Oryzias latipes: one gene and its partners. The protein of the gene in region 6 purifies or fractionates together with the protein of the main gene of each other region. This does not show direct contact. Links are inferred from orthologs where the notes say so. Each region holds a gene or a part of one and is shown on either strand. Other genes may lie near its edges. The genes, in order: atmin, dyrk2, sox2, cep78, plk1 and ubr5.

Region 1 (4,056 bases), on a different chromosome or scaffold from region 6:
GCAGGTGAATGACGCGCAGCAACAGAGCAGACCGACTAAACTTGGTGGAACAGGTGATCTGAATGTTTATTGATAACGTTCCAAATGTCTGGAAGCTCATTTGTTTGATTTATTAAAGTTTTATTTATTGATGGGTGGTTTTGCAGGATCTCTGCAGCCCGATGAAGCCGTCGGTATCCCTGCAGCTGTCCACTTCAATCCTTTCTTCCTCCACCAAAGACCACTACGCCTATGTGACGCTTCCGTCAAAAGGAGGAGCACTTTTTTGGGTTTTTTCAATAATGCTAATATAACGGACTATTTTTGTTGAATAGCCACAGGAGCTGTTGCCGTTCAGGCCGCGAGGGGGCAGTATTGAGCCACCCCGGGATTTCAGGGGTGAAGCTGGACGGGGAGCTGCCAGCAGGTTGTACACGGCGCGAGCCGGCTATGGTTGGAGAATAAAGTTACACTTGAAGAAAACAACGAGCCTGTCATTCCTTCCCACAAGCTACTACAATTTTCATTCAACTTTGTTGTTTTATGCTGAAACAGGACGCTTCATCTGCAGGAGGTGGCGTATGTAACACCGTTTACTTCCGCATTGGTGTTCGGATGACAGGTTCATGACGTAAGGTGAGATGAACTTCAGGTTATGTGAATGAAAAGGAGAATAAAAGTCTGCAGCGGTCCTCTACACCCAATCGTGTCTCTGAGCTCCTTATTTTACATATGAAAGTCCGCTTTACTGACACCGAACCCCGGAAAGCCGGCTCCACTGACAATAATCTGATTTTGAGTCGCCAAAAGGTTCAGAATCTCTTTGTTTTAAACCTATAATAATCCTGAAACAAAGCTTCACAAAAGGCTCTACATATTTCATCTTCAAGCTAGGCTCCGATAAACAGAAAACTTCGGTGTTTTCTCCTTGTTAATGTATGAGATTAAAAACTCGTAAATTTACGACTTTTTTATCTCCTAAATTTACGAAACTTTATTTCGACTTTTATCTCGACACGAGTTTTTTCTCGAAACTTTGTGCCGAGTTTTTTCTTATCATGGTGACATTAATCTCGTCATGACGAGAAAAAACTCGTCGTCATATTTCAAATGTCCATGACTCCATCACATGCTGTATCACAATCCCTAAACTACAATTCTATATATTTTGTTTTATTTATTTATTTTATTTTTCTCTCTTTTTTTGTGTGTAGTTATGTGTATGTTTAAAGTTCAAAAAATAAAAATATTTCAAATGTTCGTACACTGCACAAATATCCGCCAAGATGCTTTTAAAAATGAATTGCATTTTATTTTGTAAAGCGGAAGTCAGAACGTTATCCTGGATATGACGTGGAGGTGAGAAAGCCTTTCGGACAGAGTGGAGGGGCGTTCGTTATGTCTGTGTTATGTTCAGTGTATGGAGTGTTCATTCTTAGCTGCAGCTGAAGCTCCGGCAAACACAGCGTGGATCTCTAACACAAACATGGCCGCTTCTGCGATAAACAAGAAGAATTACAGCGATTCCACGACGACAGACGCTCTCAAAAGCGAAGAGGATTCCCTGCCGCTATGTCGCGAAATTATAAAACCCACCATCAGTGAGCTGACCAAAGAAGTGAGGAAAAACATCCTCTGCACAGTGGAAGGATGCGGGAAGATTCTTCCCAACACACCTGCATTGAACATGCATCTTGTTAAATCGCACAGAATAAAGGTAATCACTCTGATCACGAACACTTAGTTAGCATGCGTGGAACCAATGGCCGGCTGAGCTAATTACTGCTGACTTTACCTGCCAACTAATAAAAACGCAAGTCATTCAAACTCATAGCTAGCGCTTATAGCAGGAGTGATGTAGCAAACAGAAACAAGGCATTGTAGTTAGCATTTGTTTAAAGGGAATGCATTAATTTTAAGCTTATGCTAGTTAACTGTTAGTTAAAACTAGCTAGCTAGCTAGCTTAAAGGGTTAGCAAAACGCGCTGTCAGTTCCTAAATCTAATGTTTGACTTCATTTCCAGTTATAATTTAGATGCAAAGAGTTAAGATAATATAATTACGCCAACAACAAAACAGATGACATTGGAAATGCAAGTTTTTCCATTTTTACTGTAATGTTTATTAGCTTTATAAATTATTCAAATACATTTAATTTATGCCACTAAAAACCAACGGACATTGTTGCTGGTTAAACTCAAAGAAATAGTGCATCACTGCAACAGCAAAGAGTGAAGCTATTTATCATGTTTAGGATAATTTAAGCAACAAATGAATGAACGACTGTGATTTGTAAGTTGTGGTGGATGTATGTACGTACATGCAGTTTTATTATTATTATTATTATTATTATTATTATTATTGACTAGTAGTTAACAAGGAAAGTATTCATTGCGTTTCTCCCAAAGGTTTACATTCTCTCTTTTTGCTGGACTGAGTTTTCTTGTGGGATGTTTTGAGTCAATGTCCTTCCTTATTGAATATGTGTTCTTTCTTAAGGTCACTCAGTGTTATCCTATAACATACTGAGTTCTTTAAATGACAGAAGCGACTGTGAGTAAGAATAAGAACAGGTTGTTGATGGTCAAAGAGGGAAAAGTGGAAGAGTATTCAAAGAAAGTGCTATTTCTGATCTTAGACACTTGCCCATCTGCCAAACATGTTTTAACTGTTGAAAAAACTGAGAAGAATTCGCCGTTGTTTATACTGTTAGGAGCTTACATGTGTTAAAATTTTTCTAGAATTGGCATTCTGATTGTTCTGCATAAATATTTTAGCTTCATTACTCTCACAAAAAGTATCATTAGGTCACATATTGACAATATCTCTGATGAAATATTGGGTTTCTCTCTTTAAAAAAAAACATCTATATATCAGTAGAATTTTCTTATTTTTCTTAGGGGACTCGGTTCAACCTCCTTTGGAGCTAATGTGGCCGTTTGGCTTGGCACAAAGCAAGGCAGCTTTGTGCCTCTCAATCTATTACACTTAGCGACAAGAAGAGTAGAACTTTAGCGACTGTTGATGTCATTTATCCGCCGCTCAGTCCCACAGAGAAGATCAATCTCAAGTCTTTGCAAAACTGTTCTGACCCTGCTGGGGCAGGACGGTGAATCGGAACGTCTTTTCCCTATTAACTGTCTGATGACAAATGACTCCAGTTTGTGTCTATATGAGGCAGTCTGCAGCTATTTGAGTACCGTATGCTTTGTTCTTACTTATGTTAAGGTTAAGCTTTATAAATGCCAGCTTAGATCCAGGCTGTTTATTTGTAATGGTGTGGATTCTTAATACTCCGTTAGATTAAAGATAGGAGTTTAGACTAATTAGCTGACTAAAAAATTTGTTTTTTTTTGTTTTTTTAATAAGATTTTTGGGAAACCTTCTCTGCCCAGTTTTCTATTAGGAGAAAGTGCAAGCTATGGTTATTGTGCTGTTTTTCTCATCTGTTGTTTCTGTTGGTGTGTTTCAGGATGGCATCATCAATCCTACAGTCCGAAAGGACATGAAGGCCTCTCAGAAAGTTTACTGTTGTCCTGTGGAAGGTTGTCCAAGAGGACCTAACAGACCCTTCTCCCAGTTCTCCCTTGTTAAGCAAGTTAGTAAATTCTCATTTATCTGCTGTTCTTGATGTTCTTATACAGAGACAACTGAAAGTTGAAGCTTTTGGTCAGAGCTGAGAATTGTTGTCTCCGGAAAATGGTTTCTGTAACGACGGAATAAAAATGTTACCTAATAAGTCATACATAATTCTCAGAATTGCACGCACCTTCTGTTGTCACCATGTTATATAACAACAACATGCATTGATGTTCTCTCATCTAATTTCTAGTATCAGAATTAGCATACATATAATTCTGACAGTGTGAATAGCCTTTCTATCCAGATGTAGATTGGATATCTTTAACATTTTGTCAGTTAATTATAGATGAATTGCTGTTATGTAACATTTACCATTTACGTTTCTTCTTTCCTTTGTTAAAGGCTGTTGTTCGCAAAAAATCCAAATCTATTTGACAATATAACTGTGGTTGGGTCCTTCATTTGTTGTGTCAGTGTTTGTTTATTTAATAGAGA
Region 2 (2,534 bases), on a different chromosome or scaffold from region 6:
TGGATCGCTAACGGATGAACGTCTTTGTCTCCTGCAGGTCATTGACTTTGGTTCCAGCTGCTTTGAACATCAGAGGGTTTACACCTACATCCAGTCCAGGTTTTACCGAGCACCAGAGGTCATTCTAGGTAAGAAGATCCACCTGTTTTGGTGAATGAGTCCAACCACAGAAACTTGTAGGAAACTTGTTCTCTGGTTTGGCCTTAAAGGTGCTTCAATCTTCTACTAGTCCGTTTCCTTTTAATGTGCAATTTCAAATTAAAGTCGATCAGCGTTTATCGCAGGAGTTACGTTCTAAAAATAACTCGCGATAGACAAAATCTGTTATTTTTTAAAATAATTTCTAGAGGATTTAAGGCTGTAAACTACACACTTTATCCACTTTTCTTAGACAGATGTGAACATTTTCACAGTTTTCTCTCTTAAACTCTCAAAGTTCAAACTTTTGTAGAAAATAAGTTTAGAATGAAAACATAGATCTGATCGTGACTGAAGATGCAAATGTGTCCTCTGTGGAGGACATTTCCAAAGCGGAATATCTCCCAAATGCTGCAGACTAATGATTGACGTCCTATTTGTGTCTACAGAGGACAGTTGGGGCTTTTCAATGAGTCCATGTGGAGGACTGGGGTTCTGGGAATTGTAGTTTTTGGTGGTGACCGGACCAAATTTGAGAGGCAAAAGCAACATATTAACTTTTATGTCACATTTGCACTCAAATCTTCATAAAGCTGCAGGAAAACCAAGTGCTACTTCCGTTCTTCTGTGCATCTTTTACTTGAAAACATCCAGCACCAAGTTTTCCTTGGAGACTGAAGTGTGTTATTCTGAGCGTGTGCAGCATGGTTGTAGTGGACATGCGGGTCACTTTGATTCCCTTCCTTAGGGTTCCGGTCCGGTCACTAGAGTCTGGTACACGACGTGTTCAGACGTAAACTGTGACATCCTAAAAAATGATGGGATGTGAACAGTGAACGTAGCTTTAGTTGCAAAATAATTGAACCGTTGTGATGAAACGGTTCCACGTGGCTGGGAGTCCAGACCTTTGGTTTTCTGGTTTTCCTCATCTTCATCATGATGGAATTAAGCTCCAATGCATTATTGCATTATTCATAAAAATAAACCATGCTTTTTGGACTATGCGTCGCACCAGCAAAACAAAAAGAAAAAAAAATCATGTCAAAGTCGCACTTTTGGGAGAAAAGTAAACTTGTGAACAAATCCACCAAGCCGGACGTAAAGAAGTCTAGGACCTGAAAATGAGTGGAGGCTGACTCTGGTTTGTCCTTTTCTCTGAAGGTTCCAGGTATGGGATGCCCATCGACATGTGGTCGCTGGGCTGCATCCTCGCCGAGCTCCTGACTGGTTACCCGCTGTTACCAGGGGAAGACGAAGCCGACCAGCTCGCCTGCATCATAGAACTCCTAGGCATGCCAAGTCAGAAGATCTTGGATGCCTCCAAGCGGGCCAAGAACTTTGTGTCCTCCAAGGGATACCCGCGGTACTGCACCGTCACCACGCTGAGCGACGGCACCACGGTGCTGAACGGAGGACGCTCGCGGCGAGGGAAGGTACGCGGTCCCCCCGGCAGCAAGGTGTGGAGTACGGCGCTGAAGGGCTGCGACGACCCGCTCTTCCTGGACTTCCTCAAACAGTGTTTAGAGTGGGACCCAGCGCACCGGATGACGCCGAGCCAGGCTCTGCGCCATTCGTGGCTCAGGAGGCGACTCCCCAAGCCACCAACAGGAACCACTCCGGGAGACAAGACCTCTTCGTCCAAACGTGCCACCACTGACGGCACCATCACCTCCAATTCTAAGCTCGTAACCTCCTCAACAACCTCCTCCTCCTCCAAAACCAGGACTAACTTAGCTGCAATCACTGACGCCAATGGCAACATCCAGCCTAGGACGGTGCTGCCCAAACTTGTCAGCTGAGAGTGAATGCACCCCGCTCGCTGTGGCGGGAGACGAGAGCTGAGCTCGCAGCAGCCGGTGGGACCTGAATAAAACCGGTCTCTCCGGTTTTAAAGATCGTACGGTCTCGTTCAGCGTTGCTGGGGTGCGTTCAAAACAACTACAGCCAATAGAAACTCCGTGCTTGAGTGTGAACACGTGCTGGGATGGAAGTCTTTTTTTCTTCTTTTTGTGAACTGGGGTACGTTCAGAAGCTCCAACCTCCGTTTGAGACGAGTTGTTTTTAACAATTTGAGCAATTTGAGGTGGGTTCTGCTCAGACAATCTGAACACGCCACCTTCTGCAGCAGCAGACTCACAAACACAACAACAACAACAACATGGTGCTGATGGAGGGAACAAGGCTTTGAAAACATTTTCTGTGCAAATAATGTTCTTAGCTGGATTTATTATTGAGTTTAACACCAAAAAATTCTCTGTCTTAAGAGACTAAACCTGCAGTCCGACCTCTCAGAGAGCAGTTTTCTTCTCATTGACTGATATTTCCTTTTTAAAGCTAAAGAAAAAGATAAAAAAACATTTCAGTTTGCTTTTTTAGTTCATTATCAAACTCGCACA
Region 3 (2,947 bases), on a different chromosome or scaffold from region 6:
GGCCGTTTCTTGATCCAGGACTAATTGAAGCGCAGGTGAAGGCCGCGTTTTGATTCCCACTAATTGGCTGACACACTTGTTGGAACTCCTATGAATGTGTAGATCTTTTGTGCGAACACACTTTCATCTTAAAATATTCCTCACCTTTCATTCGGTCCCTGTCTCGTGTCTCCGGTGCGCGTACCACGCCACAAAGACCCATGCGTAACTGCAGCGCTGGCACTGTGGAAGTGGAAGTGGAGTTGGGGTCTTTGTCCGGACAGATGTAGCGACAACATCCCAAACAAAACGCGCTTATTTGTGCTAAGATGAGGCCGTCTGCCTTCTGTGTGTGTTGGCATTCAACTTCACCTAAACAAAAGGACTGGGGGAAACATCTTGGATTACCTTTTCTCTTTTCAAGGCTAAAAAACGAGCCGTGGACACCCCCCCCCTCTCCACCTTCTTTTACGCACACATTCACCCCACAGCTCTGCTGTTCAGAGCTTTCAGTGAGTTAACTCACAAAGTTTCTTTGCGTGTTATGTTATTGGGCCATTAAGTAGGGTTGATTAAGTGGCTTTTTCATTTGGTCTGGATATGCCTCATATTTCATCTAAAAAACAATTTAGAATAAAAATAAATCTGTTCTTTTTTAAAAGAAATAGTGTCATGTTGCTTCAATATGTCTAATTTAATTTTAAAAACGTATTCAAAAAGTAGTCTTTTTTTTTTACTTGTACTTATTAACTTTTTACATTTTGAGCTTTTAAAAGTTACAAAAAAGTAATTTCTGATTTTGAAAATGCTGCATCTCTGCGTCGTATAAACTTCCACCTAAAAGGTGTAACGTATTCACAAAGCGCTATCAAACATAGAAATTCCCACAAGCAAGATGAAATAGTAAATATGTACTTAGTATTGTCTGATATGGGCAGCAGGAGCCGGAGTGTACGCCTGTGCCTCGCTGCGCTCCAGACTCCGCCCTTTTCCGACCACACGCTCTCCCATTGGCGCGCGGGGCTCGCTCTGATTGGTCAGGCCGAAGCCATTTATTCACTGACAGCCCCTTCACATGAATGGTTGTCTATTAACTTGTTCAAAAACTATCTGGAGTTGTCAAGGCTCAGGCGGACTGAGGCGAAAAAGTACAGTTTGTTGATGCTTTTTGCGAGCAGCCGCGGGAGAAGTTTTGTGGACACAACATTGCCGGGACGTGTTGGGAGAAGGCTCTCTGTCACACACACTCACACACACACGGTGTGACACGCTGAGTGGGAGTGAGAGGGGGAGAGTGTGCGGAGACGCGCGGCTTGATGCTCGTTGTTTTTGTCCAGAGAAAAGTTGCATAGAAAATCGGCAGGTAACTGAAAGCGCTCGTGCGCTCCTCTGTCTGCGCTCAGCTTCTGGAGAGAAGCTCCTTTTTTTTCTTTTTTCTTTTTTTTCTTGTCTTTTTTTTCTGCTCGGGAGCTCCCAGCGAAAAGTTAAAATTTTCCCTGATGTATAACATGATGGAGACTGAACTGAAGCCCCCTGCTCCCCAGACCAACACGGGGGGCACGGGGAACACAAACACGTCCGGCACCGGCACCAACCAGAAAAACAGCCCGGAGAGAGTCAAAAGACCCATGAACGCCTTCATGGTGTGGTCCCGAGGCCAGAGGAGGAAGATGGCGCAAGAAAACCCCAAAATGCACAACTCGGAGATAAGCAAGAGGCTGGGCGCAGAGTGGAAACTTCTGTCAGAGAGCGAGAAGAGACCTTTCATCGACGAGGCTAAGAGGCTGAGGGCCCTGCACATGAAGGAGCACCCGGATTACAAATACCGGCCCCGGCGGAAAACCAAGACCCTCATGAAGAAGGACAAATACACCTTACCGGGCGGGTTGCTGGCTCCTGGAGGAAACGGTATGGGGACCGGGGTCGGTGTCGGGGTAGGGGCCGGCCTGGGCGGTGGGGTTAACCAGCGGATGGACAGTTACGCGGCGCACATGAACGGCTGGACCAACGGGGGCTATGGCATGATGCAGGACCAGCTGAGCTACCAGCACGCAGGTCTGAACGCGCACAACCCGAGCCAGATGCAGCCCATGCACCGCTACGACATGAGCGCCCTGCAGTACAACTCCATGACCAGCTCCCAGAGCTACATGAACGGCTCCCCGACGTACTCCATGTCCTACTCCCAGCAAACCACGCCGGGTATGACCGCCCTGGGCTCCATGGGGCCCTCCTCGGTGGTGAAGTCCGAGTCCAGCAGCTCCAGCCCGCCCGTCGTCACCTCCTCGTCTCACCGGGCCGCCCCGGGCTGCCAAAGCGGTGATCTGAGGGACATGATCAGCATGTACCTGCCCGGGGCGGAGGTCAGCGAGCAGACTGCCCAGACCAGGCTACACATGTCCGGCCACTACCAGAGCACCGTGCCCGGGACGACGATCAACGGCACGCTGCCGTTAACACACATGTAAGGGACAGAGCGCAGGAGGGGGGCAAAAGCAGACTTTTATAAAAGCTACTGTGGACTACTTAATGTTGGACTATTTTTGTACAGAAAAAAAATGGGTGAGAAAAAGTTGTATAGAAATCTTCAAGAAAAAAAGGGACTTTTTTTTCTTTCCTTTTATCCTAAGGAAGCATAGAGGAACGGTAGATCCCCTCTTCACTGTTGGATGAAGTTTGGAAGACTAGAAAGTGGGAGTCGCAATCAAATGTTTTATTATTGCAATCACCTTTTGTACAGTATTTATCAAAGAAACATTACAATCAGATGAAATTGTTTGTTAATCTGCAAGAGGTTGCATTTTTATTTTCCTTTTTTAATTATTATATATATATATATATATAAAGCTGGTTCTGCAGAGAACATTAAAAGTGAAAAATAGCAGAACAAGAGTAATGGAAGTGATCAGTTATGCTTCCAATTAAAACATTGGAATAAAAAGGGACAAAAGATGCAGGTATTTTTTTT
Region 4 (4,259 bases), on a different chromosome or scaffold from region 6:
CATCTCCATACAGGCCACTGCTGTCTGGGGTTTAAAAAAAACACATCGCCAGTTCGGGCAGCGGCCATCAACAAACTCAACGGCTAAATAGATATAAAAAGGTTTTGAAATAATGTCGAAATTACCTGTTATGCAGGGAAATGTCTTTCACAGCAACCGACCAGCGGTATTTTTCGTTACTAATCGAGCTATAAAGACGTCTGAGATATTTTTAACTTGGTGCCCCCACGTTCCGCAACGTAGTTTTGACTTTTCCCTACCTCTCCAGAGTAAAACTGGGATTCCTGGCATGAAGCTAGCTTGGATCATGACTGACGTTGTTTCTGACCAATGGCCTTTCGCACAGTGAGCGACTGGGCGGGGTCTGTGCTGCGGTGTGACGCAAGGCTAAAAGGCGAGAGGCAGAGGCGAGTGTTTAGAGACCTTGAAACCAGGCAGAGAATTCAAATGTCGATGACACTTATTTTACTGAACTATACAGCAATTATGAACATTTATTTAGCAGAAGCTACTAAAGAAGTCACAAAGTCGGATTAGCTTTTAAAGTTTAAATACACTGCTTGATGTAGAGTAAACCAGTTATTACAAAAAAATCAACCCAGATTTAAAATATCATTAGAAAACAAGTAACTTTTGTTTCCATCAGGTAAAAAAGAGGAAAACACTCTTACTTTGACGTAATTTAAAAAAGGCCCCAGGCAGACAATAATTTTGCTCAGCACTGTTTTTTTAAGGCTCTGATAATACTGATAACAATACAAGTTTAGTTATTTTACAACCAACCTTGTCTAAATTAGTACTAAAGTAAATGTACATGTTTAAGTCTCAGGACAAAATTTAGGGGGAAAAAAGGCAGACACCAACATTTAACTCTATAAAAGCCATTTGCAGTAATAATAACCCCTAAGAAACACTCATCAACCCAAAGTGGTTGACACATATCAAACAAAATGATCTGATTAGGATTTGAGTAAAAAAGCCAGGGAAGCAAACTGAAAACAAATTAAAACCAACACGTCAATTTTAATTAAAGGAATTTTAACATTAAATTCAGATTTTTTTTTTTTGACAACAGATTTCTAATTTTATTTTATTTTTCATATCTGAAAAGTTTATTTTATTTTTGTAAATTTTTAAACCAAATTCAAATAATCAGTAGACCTGCCTTTTTGTTGCTTTTATGAAAGCGTTTCTGTAGCATAAAATAAAAATAAATGTCAATACCAGAAATGCTTTTTCATTTTCAAGAGGAAGCTGCATTTTTTGACTCAAAATTAAAATGGAAAAGCATTTCTGGTATTGACTTTACTTTTTAATTATGCTACAGAAAAACCATCATATGCTTTTCTTGATCTGACATCAGCATAACAGTTTGTATTGTCAGAGGAGTAAATACACCTCCCAGCCAGTAGGTGGCAGTGTGTTGTTTTTACTGACACCCCGATACCAGTGTTGAAGACATGTGGGCGCGGTTTTGACGGTGCAACAGCGCCACTTTTAAGCATTTAATAACAACACAAGAGGAGACTACAGAGCGGTTTATACCGTGGAATTTGACAATAACAGAGGGTTCAGTTATGCCCGAAAAGGTAAAGCTCGAATGTTTTCCGGTAGTTATTACTGGATAACGTGTTGAAAACCAGATGAAAACTGATTTTTAAATGTTTTGTCCTCTGCTGCATCCAACAGTTGCTAGGACGAGCTGAGCTTGGCTTGCTAACGCCCGCGTATCTTTTCTATAAACACCAATCAGAACCAAAAGATTTGTTGAGTGCACACTATTAATTTTAAATGCAAGTTTGTTGTATCTTTCTTAATAGCCAATTTCTTGGTTTTACTCACATATAAAGTTTAGTTTGCAGAAACAGAGTTTTTTTTTACTTGCTTTGATTGCTGTTCTGGAAAACGCAGGAAAACTTTTCGTTTTTCCCCCCTTCTGGTTAATCTTTAAGTATTTGTAATTGTTCTTATTTTTTAATTTTATTTTTTATTTGAGCATTTTGATAGTTTAACACAAATTGTCAGTGCAATCAAAAATAATGAGTTTACATTTACTTGCTTTTAATTGAAGTACTGTTAAATACATCACGTGTAATACCTTTGTTTAAAAAGGAAACCTCACTGCGTGCATGCATAGAACAAGAAAATAGTCAATTTGTCTGTTATTCTATTAGAAACATGGTGGCCTAAATGAAGTAAAAGTATTGGGTATTTTGATTGAAGGACTGCCTTATTATCATCCCCAGGTCAGACAATATGGTTCAAGACAACGCACAGATTCGCCAGCAGGGTGCCCAGGACTTTATGGCGTACTATGACTTCGCCTGTGCCAAGCAGGAGACTTTTCCTGTCCCTGCTGTTAAAGTGAACCTTGACAAAGGGATGCTGAACTTTAATGCAGACCGGCTCAAACTATCTGACTGGCCACCCATTCTGCAAGCAATATCTATTAACAAGCACCTTCACCACATCGCTATAAGCAGCACTTACCAAGCTAGTAACACTTCAGGAGATACAGGTAAGCCTGAAAGTAACAGCAGTGGTAATGGTTAAAGAAAAACAGCATGTGTGAGTATATGGTCTAAGTTTGGATAACAATACCAACTGTATGAACCGTCAGTTTTGAAGAGGAGGCAGCATAAATCCACCTTTAAGAGGAAGATTCCAGCCATTCGCTCAAAGGAGATGACATTCAAGCTGTGCAAAGCCTTGGGAGACTGTTTAACTGTTTCCTCCAACCTCAAGACTCTGCAGCTTCATGGACTTCTGCTGAGAGAAAGGGACCTCATCGCTTTGACAAAAGTAAACAGACATATGGTTATTATCAGTATTTTTTTTTTTGCAAAGAGAAAAGGGCTAATATATTACACATTTATTATAGGACAAGGATAAGCTGAAGTCTGATAAACAGAGTTCTAACTGCATGTATATGTCCTGTTCCAGGGTTTGGCAAAAAGTGCTTCTTTGAAAAATCTCTCTTTAGCTAACTGTCCCATCTCAGATGAGGGATTGGAAGGTATGTATTATTATTGTAGTAACATTTATTTATACTTAATGCCTTATTCGTCTATATTTATCTCTGTTTGGATGTAAAACTCTGTTGATTGTATTGTTTGTGCATTATTCTTGCTTTGATTGCTTGAAATAAACCATTTCTAATCCAATATTTTCTAAACTTAAAATAAATTAATCACATGTTAAGTCTTTATTTTTTGTAATATCTGTATGTTCCAGTCATTTGCCAAAGTGTGAAGTACTCTACAACCATCAAGACAATTGATTTCACAGGATGCAGTCTTACATGGAGAGGGGCAGAGCATTTAGCCAACATTATTAAGGTATGATAGATACAATTACATTTTTTTATGTTTTCTAAAAGGCAACACAAAAATCAAATGGAGATTTATTTAATTGTTTGACTCTTTTTTTTCCTTCTTTCTTTTCTTTACCAGCTAAATACTTCATAGACATTTTTCTGAGATAAAATAAACCAAGGGAAACAGGCAATATGCAGGGAGTGTTTTACATGTTGACACATCATCAGTTTTCTGGCTTCCATTTTTTTTAAATGATTTGATTGTACTAATTGATATTGCTTATTAAAGATGATCAAATCATTTTTTAATAATGATGAAAAAATGTATATTAAAAAGATGTTTATAGCGTTTGGTTTTTCAACTATTAGTACATCTACTGTAGTCGTGAAATGAACAAAGTTTCGCATTTCACTTCCAACAAATGAATCGATTTGATTTCAGTTCCCACGCTCACAATTCAAGTTATTTTTTCTTTGATTTAATGTCACTATATTTGAAAAAATATCTATTCCGTAATGAATTTCTAGTTTTTTTTTCAAAACAAAAGGAACAAAGAAAGAGAAATATGTCATACATTTGAAGAATCGATATTGCAATTTCTAAATGAAGATTGATTTCATTGGCTAAACTATTTAAAATTCCAATCAAAGGTTCAGATAGCAGCATTGTCCATTGTTGTTTCAGTATCAGGGAATGCAGAGACATGGTACAGCATGGGCAGAGTCTTTGCGGTATCGCCATCCACAGCTGGAAGGAATGAGCGGTCTTCGGCGAATCACTCTTAACTGTAACACTTTGATTGGCGATAGGGGTGCAGCTGCTCTCGCTCGTGAGCTGGCTGAGGACCTCTGGATTAAAGGTACATAACCATTAATCATATTCCTGTACAAAGACTGGCTGTGGTGTGGGAACTTTACATTTTTTTGTCTGATTGAACAGCTT
Region 5 (3,940 bases), on a different chromosome or scaffold from region 6:
TTAGGGGAAAAACAACTTTTTTTTTTTTTTTTAGCTTGGCATGTTGAAACCAAACAGTACAGTCAATATCCAAATGTAAAAAATTGGGAATCTTCATGTATTCTGGAGTTATTATTTAAGTATAGGCATCAACAGGTTAACCATCATGATCAGAAAGTGAAAGTCCTTAATTTCATCATGTTAACATCTTGTCAAATAAACAATAATCTTGGTATCACAAAAACGATGTGACTTTTTTTTAGTGTGGCAAGACAGATTAAACCATTACTGCAGGTTTACTTTCTCATATTGCTTTTGTTACACTATATTTTACTGCTTCTCACCATTTTATGCTTTCCAGCATAAATAATCTTTCAAGTTAAACCCTGAGGCTTTTTTGCTCAAAATCCTTTTTGAATTTCAACCAATCTAGAGTGAAAAATATCCTCCTCACTACCGGCAATAAAAACTTGTCCCCATAGTGGACATTTCTAGACCTGAAAATTATTCAACCACTGCAATTACTGAATGAACTCCTTTTGGTATCTACAGAGGGCATTTGTGGCTTTTCAATGATTACAATGATACACTTAGAATGCCGATAGCACTGTCTGAGAATTTGGTTTGAAACAGTATTTAATGGTTGTTCTAACAGAGTAGAAATTAAAAGAAAACATGAGAAGAAAGCAAACACTCACATGTTTCTCAATTTATGAAAAGTTGAAAGTTTTTCAAGGAAGTGTGGCGCAAGATGAGTGTACACAGTCAGCATGGCAATCAATAAAAATAAAAGTGTATAACCTGAACCAACAATGTCTGTCAATAAAAATCCATCCAAAAAGTGAAAATGACAAATTCATAAAAAACTCATAGTCTAACAAAGATTAAATAAACTTCATATGATCCTCTGCATTCATGTAATATTAGTGTTCAACTAATAACATGAACCTAAATGATCGATATTGGATCAGGAGTGGCCATAATTCGGATAACGCTAATAACAAAACACTTTCGAAATTAAATCCTTTTCCCGACTACATTTCCCATCCGTCTTTCTCGAGGAAACAAAAACAGCCTTTCAGCCAATCAGATTGTTGGAGGCCTTCTACTCTACTCCTGATTGGCTATTTTTGTACACATGTTCCCAAGATGCTTTGCTGTGACGCTGTGGAATTCAAATCTAGCAGACCAATCAACGATCGCCAAAACGACCGAGCCAGCATTTTAAATTTGTACGAGACACTTGTTATCGAAAAGGCAGAACGGGACAAGGCAACCGCTGCCGGGGAAGTCTGCGCAAGAATTCTGCCTCCGGTTTTTTTTTTAATTAATTTATTTAATCTTGGGACCTGTCGGCCTTTAAATGTTAGTCAACGTTTGCGGTTTAGATCGTTTGTTAGTATTTGCTGTAAATTGAGGCGTAGAAAAAGTTAGCTTCGAAGGCTAAACTAACGTCGGTTGAGTTGGAGGGTTAAACAACACTTTAGCCCTTGTTTAATAACTTTTGCGTTTCGACTTCTTTGGAGTTTTATTAACGCGGAAAGAGCACTTTTAAAGTACACCATGAGTGCTGCTATCGCAAAGCCGGCGCAGCCGTCCGGACACGTCGACCCAAAATCGGCTCCTCTGAAAGAAATCCCAGAGGTTTTGGTGGATCCCCGCACCCTGAGGAGATACTCCAAGGGCAGGTTCCTCGGCAAGGGGGGCTTCGCCAAATGCTTCGAAATTACAGACATGGAGACCAAGCAGGTTTTCGCTGGCAAAATAGTGCCCAAGTCGTTGATCCTGAAGCAGCACCAAAGGGAGAAGATGAGCTCGGAAATCTCCATTCACAAGAGCCTCAATCATGCTAACATCGTGGGCTTCCACGGCTTCTTTGAGGACGACGACTTTGTCTATGTGGTCCTGGAGATCTGCAGGAGAAGGGTGAGGATTTTGGGAACTCTAAATGAAAATACATGAAGGCCAACGGTTAACAATGTGGCCTCTTCCGTTACCCCCCCCCCCCCCCCTCCTTTGGCATAGTGCTGGGAGACTCAAATCCCCTGATCACTGCTTTAAATCACTGTTACTTATCCTAAACCAGTAACTTTTTGTAATTTAAAACTATAGAGATATCTAAATTCTTTTTCCCCTTTGTGTTGTTCCACGTGTTGTTTTTAACACTTCTTGAGGTGCCACTTCACTTCATCCAGCTTGTTCATGCTCTCCCAGCCTCCATTTTCCTCCACTGAGTTCAGCCGCTCACCAGAACTGTTGTCCTTTTTCAAGTCCCTGTTGGAGTTGCACAAGCGCAGGAAGGCGGTCACGGAGCCGGAGGCTCGCTACTACATGACCCAGCTGCTGAAAGGGGTCCATTATCTGCACAGCAACAAGGTCATCCACAGAGACCTGAAACTGGGGAACATCTTCCTCAACGACGACATGGAAGTCAAGATAGGTATGGAGAGCAGGAAACCTGTCGGTGTAGTGACAAAGAAACGGGCACACCCATGTTCTTGATATGCTCCCATAACTTCCTTGTTGAGAACTTCCAGCTCCAATTTGTTAACACCCATATTTGGCTTCTTAATATCCTTTACTCAGATTAAACGCTGATCATTTCTTTCTTTCCTTTTTTGCTAGGTGACTTTGGTTTGGCCACAAAGATTGAGTTTGATGGTGAACGGAAGAAGACCTTGTGTGGAACGCCCAACTATATCGCTCCGGAAGTGCTGTGCAAGAAAGGCCACAGCTATGAAGTGGATGTCTGGTCACTTGGGTGCATATTGTAAGTGTGTAAACCCACAGTGGAGTGGGGAAGAGTGTCATTCCACAGGATTCTGGATACTCAACTTCCTTCCTGTATCCTCTCATAGGTACACTTTGTTAGTCGGCAAGCCTCCGTTTGAAACCTCATGCCTGAAAGACACATACAACCGGATCAAGAAGAACAATTACACCATCCCCTGGGTGAGAAGAGCTGACGTTAATCCCTAAATGTACGTAATAGTTGGTGAAAGAAAATCTTAAGTTTACCGTCACTTCACTTGAATGCTGCAGCAAATCAACCCGTCAGCCTCGGCTCTCATCAAGAGGATGCTGCATGCCGATCCTGCCCAGAGGCCCACCATCACTGACCTGCAGACGGATGAGTTCTTCACATCGGGATACGTCCCCCTGCGGCTGCCCACCACTTGTCTCACTGTGCCCCCGCGGTTCTCCATTGCCCCCTCCATGGCTGCAGAGCTCAGCCAGAGGCGCCCCCTGACTGCCATAAACAACAAAGGTAACAAACCCAACAATTGCCCAAAACTGGTGCACTGATAATGAAAGTCTGCAGTTAATCAACAGTGATATTGATGGAGGTTTTTTTTATATATTTTTTTTCTCAGCCGGCACAGAGAAGGTGGACATGAAAGACGAGCCTGCTCCACTGTGAGACATCACACTAAGGTCTAAAACATGCGTCGTAGTTTGATCAAAAATGATAAATGGGAATTTTGTGTGCAGAGAGGCGGAGCCAGAAGAATGTTACCTGAAGGACATGCTGCAGCAGCTCAACAGCATCATCTCTGCCAAGCCTTCAGAGAAGGCGGTCATTCGGCAAGGTGAGAGCAGCCGCCTGCAGGAACTACCTAAACTTTCTGCAGTTTTAGTCAGTCCTTCTTACAGAAAACCCCTTGTCTTTGATTTCAGAGGAAGCAGAGGATCCTGCGTGTATTCCCATCTTTTGGATCAGTAAATGGGTCGACTACTCTGACAAATATGGATTAGGTAAATTCTAAATCTTAGGACAGGTTTGCCTTTTATTGTCTTGCTTTTAATGGAGAATTAAGGGTGTGCTGTAAATTGCTTTCGCAGGATACCAGCTTTGTGACAACAGTGTTGGTGTTCTATTCAACGATTTCACCCGACTCATCATGTATGCTGATGGCGACAGTCTGCAGTACATTGACAAGAAGGCTGCTGAGTCCTATTT
Region 6 (3,500 bases):
TCCGCCTCTGCATTTTCCTCTCCCTGCTCTTCCTGGTCGTCATGGTGGTCTTCTTCCCCTGCTACTCCCTCCACAACTTCAACCTGAAGAAAACAACCTGATCATATCGACAAACAGGCAGGTTCATCAGAAGCCGCTCCATGCTTTGGCTCGTGTGGACCACAAGAAGTGGGTTTGGGGGGAAAAAAAGGAATACTATAATTTTTGGAGTATAAGTCACAGTTTTTTGCAGTTTGGCCAGGAGTGAGACTTATATTAGGGTCAACTTGCATGCAATTTTTAAAAAATAAATACGTTCATGTACTCATTATTTTCCCCACTAGGGGGCACTGTAGGTGTTTATCAGTATTTGCTACAGTACCTGAGAAGAAGTGCTGCTCTATTTGATTAGTGAGAGGAGTCCCAAACAGAGTAGAATCTGACTGTTTTACTCCTGAACTTAAAGATCTTTTTTTTTTTTTCATTGAGACAACAATAAAAAGATCCTATAATTTATTTTTGTTTTTATTTTGTCACTCCTCGGACTCTGGACACCAAGTCATCAAACTGGGTGACAGAGAGACGGAAGTACCGCTGAAAGCGGCCGTCATTCAGACGTCACTCCTGCATTGAAAATTGGATACACAGACAACGCTTTAATGTCGAAATGATGCTATAAAGTTTTGGCGGTAGCTCTTCTCACACAGCGACTAAGGAAAGGCAGCGAATTGGGCACATGAGTTGCATTCGGTGTGAATGCAGCATTACGCCGGCCTTGGCAACGTTGTTCAGAAGTATTTTTCTCCCAAAAGGGGACCTATACTCCGGTGTGACTTACACAGGATTTTTTTTCTTCTTTATTATGCTTTTTTTTTTTGACTGCTTATGCTCCAGAGTGACTTGTAGTCTGAAAAAGATGTCAATGAAATCCATGATTTGATTTTTCTTGTGAGTAGTTTGTCACATTTAATTTTTAGTTTTTGTAAGAATCAACGATTTTATTAGTAAGTCCAACTTAGCTCAGTTGATGGGGCTGCAGTACTCAGATACTCTAATATATGCAATCTGCTCCAGAGAAAAGGAGCACAAATGTGATGTTTGTGATGTGTTGAATTGTGATGCTGGAGATCACAGATTGGCGATATTCATAAATATAGTATAATAAAAATACACTTCAATATAATTATGGCTCTGAAATGCAGAAAATGAATGGATTTCAAGCATATACACTAAACAAACCGTGTGTGCTACTGACACTGGAAGTAAATACATTTTCAAGACAAAGTGTCAGTAAAGCTTTTTTATGTTGAAAGTAAAACTATGAAGTCATTTTTATAGATAAAAATAAAATGAGACTAAAGTTCAGTTTACTGAAATAAATTTTGAAAATTGATGTTTTAAATATATTGAATAAAGAATATAATGAGTATTCAAGTTAGAACGTTACTAAAATCTTGTGATGAAACGTCATGTGACGTCACACGCTGGAGAGGCCAGAACCCGTCTGGAAAATGTTCATCTCAAGTTTGAGAGTTTTTTGGTTGTTCCACTAAAGATGAAAAACAAGTTAGTTTACTCATAAAAATCAGTGAGGTTTAGGATTGGTTTCCTGTTGAAGTTAACCAGGCAGAAAATGCAGGAGTCCAGGGGCTTCATGGAGGTGATTACTGGAGTCCGTCACCAGTGTGCACTGAATGACACGCAGCCAAAGGCAAATTTAACTCTGAATAATATTGGGATGCTCCCCACCTCCTCCACATCAGCTGACACGATGTCGTCCTGCTCCTCGTCTCGTCCCCTGACAGGCTGAGACTGGCTGCTGCGTCTGGGCTGAGAGTTTCTGATGATATAGGAGGCAGCGGTTTGGCTAGAGCTGGGGGGGAAAAAACCCTGAGTGATTTCATCCAGAAATGTATATTAATTTTTTCTTTCATTGTAAGAAAACCAAACTTACCTGCTTGATTGGTCGGGTGAGGGTCTCGGTGGAAGCGGTTCCACAGAGAAGAGCTCCTCGCTGCCCTGAACCGCATCGATGCTCGTGCTGGCCAAGGTGAAAGGAGCCGTGGGTCGCGCTATGCCCATGCGGACGGGGACGATGAGAGACTCCGACACGTTACACAGCTCCTCCACAGCGTACGGGAGCAGGGCCTGGAAAACACGCCGGCACTTCCCAATCGGCTGCGGGATGAAGTTGCTAATTTAAGGAACAAAAAAGGGAGACAGAGTTAGTCCCATGAGTCACAAAGTCATTTTAAGCTGCAGCCAGATTTATCAGACACACGGAATTCTGTTTCGTCCTCCTGCCTTATGCCAGCTTGTGGACTGCGAAAAGAAACCGTGTTCTTACTTTTTCTTCTTTGACGATGCCATTTCCACGCTGAGAATGACGAAAACTCGCGCTACGGAGCGCAGGAACCTCCTGGTAACAATCACTGCCTCCTCTCTCCGGCCAGGAGTGTATTTGTTCTGCAGCTCTTTCACCAGGGTCCCCAGCAATGTGTCAATGAACTAATACAGAATCGAGACAATGATTTAAATGCATCCAAAACACCTCAAGAGTTTTCAGAACACTTGACATGGAGAACTGTTTATTCATTATGGAAGATCAATTTTTATAGATGAAAAAAGTGGACTCACTGTGATGTCAGGAGCACATTTGACAATGAGGCAATGTGTGAAACAGTCAAGGCGGATGGTGCCACTTTGTTGATTCAAGTAGACCTGTTCTTCAGGCAGGAGGTGGGCGATTCTACTGCTGGCACTAAGTCTAGGAAACAAGAGACGCATACAGATCACCAAACTGTGTGAAGACGAAGGATCCTGTTTCATTAACTGACAGATGAAAAAAACCTCAAAACATCTCTGGATCAGTTTCCCATGATGCATTGGAAAATGTCACCAAAAACAGCAATGCAGACATGAAACTAAGACAGTCAAACAATGACTAGAGGAACACTGCAGGACCAAAATCTTTTTATGGATACTCAAGTTTCATGTGCAGAGCTTTTTCCTTTCACAGAATTATTTTGAGAATTATAACTTCTGTGCCCATATGTTCTGTATTTACTGCACAAAATATTCAAACTTCCTGAAAATACTCCTGCCGACAACAACATTTCTACTTTCCTCAGAAACTTACGGGTCTTTGTTTTCCTGAGAACCAAACATGATCATTGATTTGAGGGCATTCCAGTCCTGCAGAACCCTCTCCAGAGCAAGTTGAGCAAAGCGAGGCGGTTCGAGGTCATGGTCAGGCATATCAGAATCTGCAGAAACGTTCAAAAAATAAGAAGAGGACAGATCATGTAAAAGGGCCTGTTCATAGAATCTGTGTGATCTGAACAAAGTGAAGAAGAAGAAACCTTCAGCGTTGGCAGCTTTGCGGTTCCTGTCTTCTCTGATGCGTGGTGGTCTGTACTGACAGTGCTCAACACTTTGTCTGGCCACAGTCTGGACCAGGAACAGTAATATATGCTCCCCCCTGGAGGAGGAAACCAGTCGGACTGATGATCCATGCTTTA

Evidence for each region.
Region 1: the proteins of ubr5 (region 6) and atmin purify together in Homo sapiens (affinity purification with western blotting; 3 studies listed by BioGRID). This does not show direct contact. The link is inferred for Oryzias latipes from reciprocal best matches to the Homo sapiens genes UBR5 and ATMIN.
Region 2: the proteins of ubr5 (region 6) and dyrk2 purify together in Homo sapiens (affinity purification with western blotting; 3 studies listed by BioGRID and IntAct, with this or other methods). This does not show direct contact. The link is inferred for Oryzias latipes from reciprocal best matches to the Homo sapiens genes UBR5 and DYRK2.
Region 3: the proteins of ubr5 (region 6) and sox2 purify together in Homo sapiens (affinity purification with western blotting; 3 studies listed by BioGRID and IntAct, with this or other methods). This does not show direct contact. The link is inferred for Oryzias latipes from reciprocal best matches to the Homo sapiens genes UBR5 and SOX2.
Region 4: the proteins of ubr5 (region 6) and cep78 purify together in Homo sapiens (affinity purification with western blotting; 3 studies listed by BioGRID, with this or other methods). This does not show direct contact. The link is inferred for Oryzias latipes from reciprocal best matches to the Homo sapiens genes UBR5 and CEP78.
Region 5: the proteins of ubr5 (region 6) and plk1 purify together in Homo sapiens (affinity purification with mass spectrometry; 4 studies listed by BioGRID and IntAct, with this or other methods). This does not show direct contact. The link is inferred for Oryzias latipes from reciprocal best matches to the Homo sapiens genes UBR5 and PLK1.

The regions. Positions count from the first base shown.
Region 1 is NC_019861.2:22,521,767-22,525,822, reverse strand, and holds the start of atmin (ATM interactor), read left to right. Parts: upstream 1-1,256; 5' UTR 1,257-1,399; coding exon 1,400-1,696; intron 1,697-3,451; coding exon 3,452-3,577; intron 3,578-4,056. UniProt on the Homo sapiens protein: Transcription factor. Plays a crucial role in cell survival and RAD51 foci formation in response to methylating DNA damage. Involved in regulating the activity of ATM in the absence of DNA damage. May play a role in stabilizing ATM.
Region 2 is NC_019881.2:22,945,386-22,947,919, forward strand, and holds the end of dyrk2 (dual specificity tyrosine-phosphorylation-regulated kinase 2), read left to right. Parts: intron 1-37; coding exon 38-128; intron 129-1,299; coding exon 1,300-1,937; 3' UTR 1,938-2,034; downstream 2,035-2,534. UniProt on the Homo sapiens protein: Serine/threonine-protein kinase involved in the regulation of the mitotic cell cycle, cell proliferation, apoptosis, organization of the cytoskeleton and neurite outgrowth. Functions in part via its role in ubiquitin-dependent proteasomal protein degradation.
Region 3 is NC_019862.2:18,601,031-18,603,977, reverse strand, and holds sox2 (transcription factor SOX-2), read left to right. Parts: upstream 1-1,478; coding exon 1,479-2,447; downstream 2,448-2,947. UniProt on the Homo sapiens protein: Transcription factor that forms a trimeric complex with OCT4 on DNA and controls the expression of a number of genes involved in embryonic development such as YES1, FGF4, UTF1 and ZFP206. Binds to the proximal enhancer region of NANOG.
Region 4 is NC_019867.2:7,051,823-7,056,081, forward strand, and holds the start of cep78 (centrosomal protein of 78 kDa), read left to right. Parts: upstream 1-1,459; 5' UTR 1,460-1,589; intron 1,590-2,246; 5' UTR 2,247-2,256; coding exon 2,257-2,518; intron 2,519-2,620; coding exon 2,621-2,802; intron 2,803-2,943; coding exon 2,944-3,016; intron 3,017-3,234; coding exon 3,235-3,338; intron 3,339-4,001; coding exon 4,002-4,176; intron 4,177-4,256; coding exon 4,257-4,259. UniProt on the Homo sapiens protein: Centriole wall protein that localizes to mature centrioles and regulates centriole and cilia biogenesis. Involved in centrosome duplication: required for efficient PLK4 centrosomal localization and PLK4-induced overduplication of centrioles.
Region 5 is NC_019859.2:22,726,368-22,730,307, reverse strand, and holds the start of plk1 (serine/threonine-protein kinase PLK1), read left to right. Parts: upstream 1-1,140; 5' UTR 1,141-1,542; coding exon 1,543-1,905; intron 1,906-2,250; coding exon 2,251-2,419; intron 2,420-2,604; coding exon 2,605-2,749; intron 2,750-2,837; coding exon 2,838-2,931; intron 2,932-3,021; coding exon 3,022-3,247; intron 3,248-3,353; coding exon 3,354-3,396; intron 3,397-3,471; coding exon 3,472-3,569; intron 3,570-3,657; coding exon 3,658-3,735; intron 3,736-3,822; coding exon 3,823-3,940. UniProt on the Homo sapiens protein: Serine/threonine-protein kinase that performs several important functions throughout M phase of the cell cycle, including the regulation of centrosome maturation and spindle assembly, the removal of cohesins from chromosome arms, the inactivation of anaphase-promoting complex/cyclosome (APC/C) inhibitors, and the regulation of mitotic exit and cytokinesis.
Region 6 is NC_019874.2:6,539,902-6,543,401, forward strand, and holds part of ubr5 (E3 ubiquitin-protein ligase UBR5), read right to left. Parts: intron 3,461-3,500; coding exon 3,342-3,460; intron 3,246-3,341; coding exon 3,119-3,245; intron 2,747-3,118; coding exon 2,617-2,746; intron 2,488-2,616; coding exon 2,327-2,487; intron 2,174-2,326; coding exon 1,934-2,173; intron 1,853-1,933; coding exon 1,729-1,852; intron 84-1,728; coding exon 1-83. UniProt on the Homo sapiens protein: E3 ubiquitin-protein ligase involved in different protein quality control pathways in the cytoplasm and nucleus. Mainly acts as a ubiquitin chain elongator that extends pre-ubiquitinated substrates.